Arabidopsis thaliana: one gene and its partners. The protein of the gene in region 1 interacts with the protein of each later gene in a pairwise test. Each region holds a gene or a part of one and is shown in the gene's direction. Other genes may lie near its edges.

Region 1 (4,826 bases):
TGTATATAAATATATATAAGGGATGGTCTTCTTAAACGTTTGATTTGATTGTATGCATAACAGAGTTGTAATTCAATGATAAATTTTCAATATGTTAAATACAAAAATCTTGCAAGGACATGCCTAACCATAATATATAAAAGAGTAATCTAATCAAAGATCATATTCGTATGTTGTTATATTCAAGAAAACTTGCATGAGGTTTTAAATATTCCTTGGAAAAAAAGTGAATATGAGAAAAGGGAGTGACAAAAGGGTTTAGGAGAGATTTTGGTGGCTTGGGAGATGGTGAATTGGAGCCACTTCTTTGTCTCTACGTCAAATCTTCTCAGTGGAATTTAAAGTTATATTATTGGCATTCAATTAAAAATGAAACACACATTAAAGAAGAGTGTCAAAAGTTGTTAATGGTTTCTATAAATTAGTTGATCCACTTTTAAGTTTTAACTTCTTATGATTTGGCAAGGAGGAAAAAGTATATAAAAAGTGGGCCTATCTATTGATAAAAAGACAAATGGAGTTCAATAGACTAGGGAATAATGATATCAACATATATGTATGAGATGTGTTTTGATTGATAAATAATTGTGAAAAAGACCACTCATTTTTACACAAGACATTCTCTCTCGATCTCCTCGTTTTCTCTCGATCAAAATGCTACTCTACGCTCCCTTCCCATAATGAAAACATCCATGCATGTACATTATCATATTTTTACTAATTTAGGGATCGAAAAGATTAATTTATAAAAAAGTAGAATACTATATACGTATCAATTAATATATGTGTTCAATGCAAAGCCGATGCAAACTTATATATTTCCTATCGTGATAATCTTATATAATAGATATTAGTTGTGTTTGATATATATAATAATTGCAGTACATATAATTCTTAACACCCATATAATGTAAAATTTTCTGATACAATTCTAAACCACATGTGTGCATTTTGAGTTTCACTTCATAGTCGGATTCTGCAAACTCCCCACATTAATTGGTCCACAAGGTACAAAACTTATCTCACATATATTCACCAATATATACAAATGTCAAATGCCTTTATAATGTATCACTCTTGATTGTTGATATTAGATAAGAATGTTGATATCATTACAAATGAAATGATATATTAGATTAAATTGGTAAATTTATTGTTACACCTCTAACAACGAAAAAAAGTGAGACAGTATAGCTACAAAACGGAGCGGGTTGAAAGAAAGAGGAAGTGGACAATGGGGATACAAAGTTTGAAAGGCACATCAAAAGTGGTGGGAGCAAAAGTTTGTCGTCAAGTAATTGGAATATAATGGCATGCATACACGAAAGCTGAAGATGCTACGACGTTTAGGATTTGGACTTACATTGTTTTTCTTCCTTTTTTCAGCTTCGGTATCTGCGATGTTATCGATAATGCTCTGATTTGGTGATAACCCCAATTAGATAGATGATTAACATAATTAAGTGGGATCGGATGAGACAAAACATATAGTGTCTTTAGATTAGTTGAGAAAGATTAGAGACAACGCGTGCCATTTCTGGTAAAACCATTACAACCACTCCACGTAAAAAGAATACATTATGTTTGTTAAATTTTCACATTTCTAATTTCTTACCCTCCATTTTGTAGTTTTACTACATCTCTACTATTTATATCTATTTTTATCCTATTCATTCTAAATTTGGATACTTTTACTGTTGACTGAAACTTGTAGCCTAGTTGTTGTTTCTTTTCACATGTACTCATGTATACCCAAGCTTAATGAAATTTTAAAGAAAATAAACAAGCGGTTTAGTTTTAATTTAATGGGCCGTTTCTTTATTTCAACGAAGCCCAATAGAGCCTGTTGAAAAAGGGTTTAGTTATTGTTGTTTACACATAAGGGCTTGAGTTTTATTTATTTCACGAAACGAGTAGAAACTTTTGTTTTATCAAAATCAGAACCCTCCTCTTTTACAGATTCAGGCCAATTCTAAATTCCCATCGTTCGTTCAATTTCAGACGTTAACCTCGGCTTGAAGGCTTCAAATTTCTGTGAATCCACGACGGAGATTGTAAGTTCCGATCATACTCACGACGATCTCATTCTATATGCACTAGAATCTTTTCCTCCTCCATTGATTAGATGATATGTTTATCCAGAACATGATGGATTCAATTAAGGCTTTTATTTTGTTGATCTGAATGGTACTGAGTTATGAATTGTTCGAGCAGATTGGTGAATTACGTTAGAATCAGTAATCAGCAAAAGGGTTAATGGAAGGAGAGAAGCTTATAGAAGATCGCGGCTTTTTGGCTGCTCCTCTGACCTTCGTCGTCGTCGTTGTCTTCCAATTGCTATCCAAGTGGCTTGACCAATTGAAGAAGGTAAAAAAGATAATACTTTTTGGCTTTTTTTCATATCCACATGAATCATCGTTTTGAATTATGGAATTTCTTCAGAAAGGGTCGAAGAACACGAGGGAATCAGAGCTGCGAACCGAAATTAAGCAGCTTTTGAGAGAGGCTAGTGCATTGTCTCAGTAAGCCATTTTGTTGTCACATTTTGTTTTGGTTCTAGTGATTTGAGTTAAGGAAGGTGCAGTTGTTGAAAAATATATATATGAGTGTTGTTGATTAGAGATTTATCTATTGTTTACTTGCAGGCCAGCCACATTTGCGCAAGCAGCGAAACTTAGGAGGTCAGCAGCTACTAAAGAGAAAGAACTTGCACAATGTGAGTATGCATACATTATTAGTTCTACATTGATTGCTTAGTGAGCGTAGAGTTCATGAAATTCAGAAATATGATTGATTGCTTAGTGAGTGTAGAGATCATGAAATTCAGAAATATGATTGATTGCTTTGTGAGTGTAGAGTTCATGAAATTCAGAAATATGATGCAACAGTTAGTTAGCTTTAAACATGAATACTATCTGGTAGCAGATATTCCTACTAAAGCACTGCATCATCATGGTGTAGTATTGGTGTGTGTGTGTATTTGTTAATTCTCATTTTGAAATTTTAGATCTGGAGCAGCATCACAAAGAAATCAAGCTTTCATACGATATGTATGGGAAGGGTCTGCTTGCTTCGAAGGTAGCTTAGTTTGTGTGCTCAAGCTTCTTCTTTTTTTCCGTCTAAAACTCCTTAATCGAGATGTGCTAAGAACTTTGTTTCTAGGTTGTGATATACCTAATCTTGGTATTGTGCTTCTGGAGGACTCCAATTGCCATTATCGCTAAGCAACTTGTTCAACCGTTTGGTGAGTAGTTTACTTTTACCAGGTTAAAGCTCGCTTATGGTATATAACACATAGGAAAAAAATGAATGTGGTGTGTTTCACAGGGACTTTGTTATCTTGGGGAACAGGAGGTCACATGACAGGCCATGTAATGGTAAGTTCCTTCTTCTCAATCCATTTATTTGGGCTTGTTCTTGATTGAGAGTGTTGGTTGGGTAAAAATGCAGGTCGGGATCATACCGTGGCTCATACTCTCAAACAGAGTGAGCAAATATGTGTGTAGGTTCGTGGAGTTCTAAATCGCATCCCTGAAAAGAGTGAAGATTGGATGGTTTTTGAGTTCAAAGTTGTAGCCTTTTAGGAGACACTTGTGGCAGAAATTGTGCTTCTCTTTTTGTTCCTAATCTTCCTTAACAATGTATATTTATATGACTCTTTTTCTCTGGTTGTTTGTTGGATTTTACCAATAACAAGTAGTTCGTTTTTGAGAGTTGAGCAGGTTGTTACCGTAGAAGCAGCCCCAATATTTACCCAATGTGTATATATACACCATAACAAACACATTGTCTCTATTCCTCTACGTGTTGTCAATTTTTATCTTGTAACACCGACTTTGTAAAATCAGATTCTAAAGACGCGTGTACTTATTCAACACGATGCCAATGCATGTGGTTCATTAAGATGTAGCATTATATCACCGAAAATGGAAGAGAGAAATAAAAATACTTACTATTATTAAAAGTGGGTAGCTTGGTGAAGGCACTAAAGTTTAATGGGAGAATCTTTTTAGCAATTAATTCGAGGGCATTATAATATCCACTTCCAACCACCACATTACTTAATTAAGGAAAACAATTTAAATCATAGTATCTTGTTTGGTTTGAAAGGAACGTGCACGTGTCACATCATCTACACTTGTCTTTCTAAATCAAAGAACTTGATTGGATTTGGTTAAGCCTATTAGTAAGAGTTAATAAGACAGAACCAAAGAAAAGGGTTTGGTTAGAGGGGCTAATTGGGAGATGGGAAGTGCAATAAATAAGAAGAAGGTTCATTAAATAGTTGTGTATGTGGGCATCCAAAGTCCCATCTTAATAATTTAATAATCTCCTCGGGATAGATAACAATCTTCTCTTCTTCTTCTTCTTCTTCTCTCCATTTTCCTAGAACATTAAAAGACAAATATGGAGCATTGTAATTTAATTAATCCTAAAGGTCATTGTGATATCTCACTTTCGTCTTTAAGGGAGGGGGGATGTTAGAAAAATGTTGTGTTTTGGGTTTGTGATCAGAACCCATGCACATTTCAATTCAATGCATCTCATAATAATATACGTAGTAACGTCTACAAGAACTTTTCTACCACTTGGCAGATTTAGGGACTATGTTTCTGTGTCTCTCTATCACCCCTAATTCAATAGCATATTAAAAGTTTACTCTAAAACAAGAAGTCACGACAAAATGAGATCATTGTGAAGATATAATTGGTTTACTATAAATTTCATGTAAGAAATAAGTATCCGTATTTGTAGGATATCTAAATTATGTGATCCGTTTTACACTTTTACTTAAGAGAAAGTTGAATTCCTAGAAAAGTTTCAAA
Region 2 (3,860 bases), on another chromosome or scaffold:
GAGAGTAATAGGAGTCTTGAAATTGGCTACTATCGAGAAGGTGAAAAAGTTTGGAGATTGAGGGGTACGAGTAAGAGTGAAGTTCAAAGATGGGTGTGATGAATTTGGAGAGCAAATACACATGGACATTAAATTTCCTTTCCATAGAGAAAGAGGAGGAAGAGTTTGAAGCCAAGCAAACGCATCAGGTGTGTCACAAGAAGCCATTAGAGCTAATATTGAATATCTAGTTGTTGTTCTAGATATGTGTGGTATAGAGAGTATATGATTAGAAGACTAGATTTATCATTTATATATAGAGAGAACATTTTAATGAGTGGAAGAAAAGTAAAGGAAGAAAGATTCGCTTATTTTTTTCAAAAGGTAAGCTAAACAAAATCATGAACTATTTTACGTAAACCAGAAAATATAGAGCTACGCACGAACACGAGACGTCTCTTTAGTAAAATATTGAAAATTTGAAATGTGATAATGATTAAGAGTCCTGCAAATTATGAGATAACGTACAAGGAAAAAGGTTTAGATGATAATTAGAGTAGCTAGACCGTTAAGAGGGATGTAATTAAATTGATAAAGTACGTGCTATTCAAGATTCTTCCATATGTGGATTTCAACCCGAATTTCCAAGAAATATTCTTGATTAGGCCGACGAATATTGTTATTCGATGCCTCTATTCTACTCAATAATGTTTCTTCGTCTTTATTTAGTTTACTAATTATATGTTTGATACATAAATAAATACGAATTATGGAGTGTGTTTGTATATACATAAATACGAATACGAATTATGGAGTGTGTTCAAATAATTATACATAAATAAATAAATACGAATTATGAATTATATACAAATATAAATTATATACACTTGAAGCCTGACGATTACAATAGCAGCTGATCATTATCTTCGGGGTGAATTCAAATTATGGATTGTGTTTGATTTCCTCAAGTCTTAATTTTCATCTACTTTTCAAACGACTAATTAATAGTGGCTACATAACTAACGACTCGATGATAAACACTCCAAAAAGCAATCAATCACTTGAGCAAAAGTTCAAAAGAAAACACTCCAAAAAGCAAACGCAAACACCAAACAAAACAAAACTCAAGTAGAGTTTTAGATAAAGCAACAGTAGAATTTTAGAAAAACCAAATTAAAACACCAAGTGTTTATGCCAAATAAATTGGCTAGACGAAGCAAAACAAGAACACATTATTGATAGTGTAGATTTGGAGTTCACTAATTGATAGTGCAACGTTTGAGTTCAACATTGCCTAGGCTGAGTGAGAATATCTTATTGTTTCCATCCACGAATTTGAGAAAGTAACTACATGTTACCTTTACCTTCTTGTTATTCTCGTCAACCTCATTTATCTCGGTCATCTCAACATGAACAAGTTCCGCAAACCTCCATTTGTTTTCATTATCTCATTTTGATTGTCCCAATCATGTCAAACTCATCTTTTATCGCTTGCACCCCCTTCTTCATGTAGTCTCCACCACCGGTTGCATAGGCGTCTTTAAAAATGCTCTCGAGTTCCCTCCAGTTGTCTTTGCCCCAAGTTCCTGGTGTCTCAAGACACCATAATTCATATATAACTCATAATTCATATTTATTTATGTATATAATTTGTATTTGTATATAATTCATAATTTGTTTAGCTTCAAGTGTACATAATTTGTATATAATTTAATTTCACAGTTTATAGATATATTTAGTAAACCTTTATCATTCATGATCAATTGATCATATGATTGTTTCATTTGTTCAACGAGAACACTCATAGGGTGGGAAATGAGATGATAATTATTGAAATGATCATATAAACAATTGTAGGAAGTCGTAATTTATCTGCAAATAAAATTAGAATATTATTAACTACACTAATTTACTAGTTTGTGTTGTGTTATCCTTGTAACATCATATAGATACAAACCACTGAACCAGTAAGATTGTTTGTTTGTTGAAAAAAAAAAAATGGTTTTATGAACCAATAGTGGAATATATTGGGCCTCTTCCAACATTATAGACCCATCTAAAAATTGCTATTAACTCCAACTTAATATATTGGGCCTATTCCAAAACATTATAGGCCCATAAAATTTAGGCCTTTAGAATATCTAACACGGTTTTGCCGCAACTTCAGTTTCCACTAAAATCGGAACAACAAATTCACACTCTCTCCGCCGCGCACAGACTCACCGACACCACCAATAATGTCTTCTTCTCCGGCGATTCTTCCCGTCACCAACCAGCAAGCAGCCACTCAATCTCAACCTCCAATCAATTCTCACGCCTTCCGTACTTTCCTCTCACGCCTCTCGTCCTCTCTCCGCGAAAGCCTCTCTCAACGCCGTCCATGGCTAGAACTCGTAGATCGGAGCTCCTTCGCTAGACCTGACTCTCTCACCGATTCCTTCTCCCGGATCCGTAAGAATCTCGCTTACTTCAAAGTCAATTACTCCGCAATTGTCTCGTTAGTCCTTGCTTTCTCCCTCCTCTCGCATCCATTCTCGCTTCTCGTCCTCCTCTCTCTCTTAGGCTCCTGGATGTTTCTCTACCTCTTCCGATCTTCAGATCAGCCTTTGGTTCTCTTTGGTCGTAGTTTCTCAGATCGTGAGACTTTGCTTGGTCTTGTTTTGACTACGATTGTGGTTGTGTTTATGACGAGTGTTGGATCTTTGTTAACATCGGCGTTAACGATTGGAATCGCGATTGTTTGCTTACATGGTGCGTTTAGGGTTCCTGATGATTTGTTCTTGGATGAACAAGAGCCTGCTAATGCTGGTTTACTCTCGTTCATTGGTAATTCTGCTGCTACTTCTGCTGCTGCTTCTGTTGTTGCAGGACGAGTTTGAGAAGCTCGAATTTGATGATTCTGATCCTAGAGAACAAACGAAACCTGGATTCTCAGGGTTTTTAGTTATGTTTTGAGTATAGATTCGATGAAGATCTGTAAGTGTTAGATCTAAAGATGCATTGTTGTGTTGTATTCTTCAATTTCGTCACAATTTAGAAAATTTGGAGCTGATCCTTCTCAAGTATTGTAAGATCTCATTTACCTTAAATCAATTTGATACTCTTTGCCTTCATCACCATATGTTTGAGTTAGATTTAGACTAAACCAGTGAAGATTATAGTTTGACCAAAGTATTAAGGATTAAACAAACAACATGTAGTTTAACAACATACGTGGTAGATGTAAATCTTGTAACTAGTTATGTCTATGTCTCTCTAGCTACCAACTATTTTATTCTTCCACAAGTTTCCTCTATCTCGAAAGCGAACAGCCAATACTGTGTACGAATTTGCTGATAGTAAGAGGGTTATATCATGGGAAAGTTTCCCACTGGATTTACATGTTTGGCCAATTTGACAAAAACGACACACGTTTAGTTTGGGGATTTTGTCTTAAAAACTCGGCTGCCAAAAACAAACTGAAGATTCGGTCACCTGAATTGTCTTTTTCGGTCAAAGTCTCACTGAGTTGCTTCTTTCTTAGATATAATATAGGTGACCTGTTTTTAATCTTCATAACATGAGATATATTTTCGTGGAATGAGTTGTGTCTTGTGAAATCTTTTTTCTTTGGTTTTAATGTTAAGAATGTCTTGTGAAATCTTTTCCTGGATTCTAATTATTGGTGAGAATGTGAGATAAAAACAACACTTAGGTACTAAGTTACTAACCATTAAACATGAAGATAAATAGACAAATCCTCTTGTGTAAAGAAGATTATCCCACTTGTAACGAGAAGGTTTGACAAATCGACAACAAAAATGTGAACCTAGTTAGGGTTCGTACCCACTTTTGACTAATGGAATTAAGATACAAAGGAAACCAAAGAAATAGAGTAAACC
Region 3 (3,663 bases), 3.2 Mb from region 1:
AAGAGATCCATACTCAGGGAAGAACTGGCGCAAGCATACTAAAGTAATTGCACGAGAAATTTGGTCAAGCGATACCTCTTGAAGTTCATCAACTGCTTCATCAATCCCTGCAACATCAGCGAATTTAACACCGGTTGAACCCTGAAATATAATCATTGAAGTCATAAAAAACTCAACCAAAAAAGTATTAGAACTGAAGAAACATGCATATAGGAGTAATGGTTAGAAACTTACATCAACACGAGCTTCTGCTTTAGACTGAGAAAAAGCAATCCCTTGCCATAAATCCTGCAAAAACATTTGAAGTGATTGAGGGCGCAAGCGATATCAATAGATTCTGCAAAAAAGTGTTGAGTGATTAAAGTATTATACCCATTTCCTAAAGTTCTTTGGTCTCCGTGACAGTGTGAAACGAACAAGAAGAACCATAGTCATGACAACAAGTAGGATTGGTTTGAGCATCTCCAGACTTGATGCTACACCACCAAATGTATAGAAATCAGAAATCCTTGAGAAGATGCCCCCATCGGCGAGAACATCAACAATGTAATCCCATGATTTTTCAAGAACACCAAGGAAGACGCCAACAAAAAGTTTGAGGAATGGCTTTGCTATAGGCCAAACAACATATACTGTAGTGACAAAGGCGAAACTAGTGACTGCAAAAACAGCTGAGGCTAAGAATCCTCCAACAACAACTGCGGCTGCAGCAATAACTGCTGTCACCATTCCCAGCTCAACCATCACTCTACTTGAAATAGAAGACGCAACAGGGTTTGGGAAGTCCGCCACTTTTCCAACCCAAGACTGCAAACATATAAACTCAGTCAATAACAGAACAAAATAGATCTGTTTGTCAACCTAGTGAATAGGTTATGAAAAATTCCTAACCAACACAATACAAAAATATTGAGGACATTAGATTATATAATCTAGTAGATAAGATCTAAATGAACAAAAGCGTGATCACCGTCATGTGCCTTTCAATTTCGTACTGCGGACCCGTGTATTCTTTCAGAAGAGCTTGAGCTTCTCCAACTTCAAGCTTCATTGACCTATCAAGAAACAGATCAATAAGAAAATCATACCAATATTCTCCATACATCAAAATTAAAACTTTTATTCTTCTTCTTAATCCTAGTAATTCACCATTTGGTTCTCTGTAAGCTCTTGACTCCAGGAATCTCCTTAAGATCAACAATAAAACCTCTATAGCCACTCGTATAAGAAACACCAGAAACTTCCTTCGATGTAAGCAGCTTAACTTTATCATTCTCCATAGCTTTTCTAAAATCTTCCAAACTCATCTTTGGTAAATCTTTCACATTTTTCTCAAACTCCTCTTCTTCAGATAACTCTGGCCCAAAAACTTGCTCCGGAACATAAAGCTTTCCTTTGTACTCCCTCAAAATATCACTCAAATAAACAGACTCTTCGCTTTTGTCTGTCTCTGTTTTCTTCTTCGAATCAAACTTCCTTTTGATAAATTCAAACGCACCCGTCGCCGCATTGGTGCCTTTGCTTAAATCTTCTCTCTCCTTCAGATTATACAGCTTATCACCAACTCGGTAACGAGGTTCCACTTGGCTAGGATTCTCCTTCAAAACCCTAGTTACGAAATCGTCAGCAGCAGGGGAATTGTTCGTCTCGCCGGAGCTAGATGACCCAGTTTTCAATTCGCACAAAACTGTAAACGACCGACGCAGAATTGGAGCTCTCCATCGAGTTTGAGTTCTCGCGGAGAAACTCGATGTAGTCGCGTGTTTCAATATCGATCTCTTGGGGTTTTCTGGGATTGAGAACCGAGTACCGAGTGAGAAAACATTGTCTATAGACGCCATTTTACGACGATAACCATGTACAGAAGAAAAAGAAGCTTCACTAGAATCGCATTGCGAAATTTGAATCTCTCTTCGTTCTGGATAAGAAAATAGAGCAATCGGAGGTTTATTCAATCTCAGGAGGTTTTTGTTCTGTTAGCTCTAAATTACAACAATTCGACCCGACTTCGAAACCCGGTTTCTGTTCCGGGTACATTGTTTGTTCACTAAAATAATTTATTTAGCTCTAGTCGGCCACCTTCGCTGCATCACACACACTTAAGTCCAAACTCCGTTGTAACGTTATCACTATGTCCAAACAAAACATCCTTTTGCTTTTACACGTCGTTTTGCTTTCCCTTTAACCAAAAATAAACTCTTTATCCCAACTAGTGAACACTTAAATCATCGCTACCAAACATCTCCACCGAGAAATGTCGAAGTCTTGTTCAAACCTCGCTTCATGCGCCGTCGCCACGCTCTTCATAGTCTTCTTAATCATCGCCGCACTTACTGTTTATCTCACAGTCTTTAGACCGAGAGATCCTGAGATCTCCGTCACTAGCGTCAAGGTTCCTTCATTCTCCGTCGCTAATAGCTCCGTTAGTTTCACCTTTTCTCAATTCTCCGCCGTTAGAAACCCTAACCGCGCAGCTTTCTCACACTACAACAATGTAATCCAGCTCTTTTACTATGGAAACCGGATCGGTTATACCTTCGTACCTGCTGGTGAGATCGAATCGGGTCGAACCAAGCGTATGTTAGCTACTTTCTCCGTTCAGTCGTTTCCTCTCGCGGCGGCCTCTAGTTCTCAAATCTCCGCCGCCCAATTTCAAAATTCGGATCGGTCCGGGTCAACAGTGGAAATAGAGTCGAAGCTGGAGATGGCGGGTCGGGTTCGGGTTCTCGGTTTGTTTACTCACCGAATCGCGGCTAAATGTAATTGTAGGATCGCGATTTCCTCGAGTGATGGTTCCATCGTAGCCGTCCGTTGTTAATATTAAAAAACAATTGTAAAAGTGACATGGTTATTTTTCAAAAATACATGTATGTGAAGTGAAACCTCTTGGGTTCTTTTCTGAATCCATCAAGTTAGAAAATTGCAAATATTAATACAAAGCTATTGTACTTTTAGATTTTGTACGTATACTAAATTACAACTTAACACGAAATTTTCGGTTGCCAATTGTAATAGCCTTAACATTAGTCTACATAGATATGCATGCTTTCCATATTCTTTGTTTGGATTAACGTTTTCTGTATAGTAAATACACTTATAGCCATAACGTAGGGCCGGGTATTCGGGTATGCGGGTCGGTTCGGGTAATACCCGATCGGGTACGGGTATACTGTTCTAGAATCCAATAGAGTAAATAGAAAACTTCGGTGGTTCGGTTCTAATCGGGTTTGGGTTGGTTCGGGTATAGAATTTTAGAACCGTTAAATACTCGAAAAAAACGGGTATCCTTCGGATTCATGTATTTTATATCCAAATACCCAAAAATTTACCCAAATACCCGAAATTGTACCAAATACCCGAAATTTGTACCCAAATAGTCGATAATTTTACCCAAATACCCGAAATTATACCCAAATAGTCGAAAATTTTACCCAAATATCTGAATTTTACCCGAATAACCGAAATTTTGTCCAAATATCCAAAACATTTACGAATATTTTGCATATATAAAATATTTAGTATTAAGTATTTAAATATAGGTACATTTAGTTTTTAGTAATTATTATTGGATATTTGGATATAAATGTATTTGGTTCAAATATTAAATATAAAATAAATTTTTATATGTATAAATCTATGAATAAGTATATGTAATTTCGGATA

The links.
Region 2: the proteins of AT4G16444 (region 1) and PRA1.B2 interact in a protein complementation assay, tested with the Arabidopsis thaliana proteins (one large-scale study listed by BioGRID).
Region 3: the proteins of AT4G16444 (region 1) and AT4G23930 interact in a protein complementation assay, tested with the Arabidopsis thaliana proteins (one large-scale study listed by BioGRID).

The regions. Positions count from the first base shown.
Region 1 is NC_003075.7:9,273,487-9,278,312, reverse strand, and holds AT4G16444 (tail-anchored protein insertion receptor WRB-like protein), read left to right. Parts: upstream 1-1,865; 5' UTR 1,866-2,054; intron 2,055-2,214; 5' UTR 2,215-2,256; coding exon 2,257-2,367; intron 2,368-2,442; coding exon 2,443-2,522; intron 2,523-2,645; coding exon 2,646-2,716; intron 2,717-3,007; coding exon 3,008-3,078; intron 3,079-3,162; coding exon 3,163-3,244; intron 3,245-3,327; coding exon 3,328-3,377; intron 3,378-3,450; coding exon 3,451-3,522; 3' UTR 3,523-3,875; downstream 3,876-4,826.
Region 2 is NC_003071.7:16,863,732-16,867,591, reverse strand, and holds PRA1.B2 (prenylated RAB acceptor 1.B2), read left to right. Parts: upstream 1-2,004; 5' UTR 2,005-2,216; coding exon 2,217-2,858; 3' UTR 2,859-3,146; downstream 3,147-3,860. Other genes in the region: AT2G40390 (neuronal PAS domain protein), read right to left, coding at 1-207. UniProt on the Arabidopsis thaliana protein: May be involved in both secretory and endocytic intracellular trafficking in the endosomal/prevacuolar compartments.
Region 3 is NC_003075.7:12,435,286-12,438,948, reverse strand, and holds AT4G23930 (Late embryogenesis abundant (LEA) hydroxyproline-rich glycoprotein family), read left to right. Parts: upstream 1-2,121; 5' UTR 2,122-2,254; coding exon 2,255-2,818; 3' UTR 2,819-2,949; downstream 2,950-3,663. Other genes in the region: FtsHi1 (FtsH extracellular protease family), read right to left, coding at 76-141, 235-288, 373-807, 971-1,055, 1,150-1,841.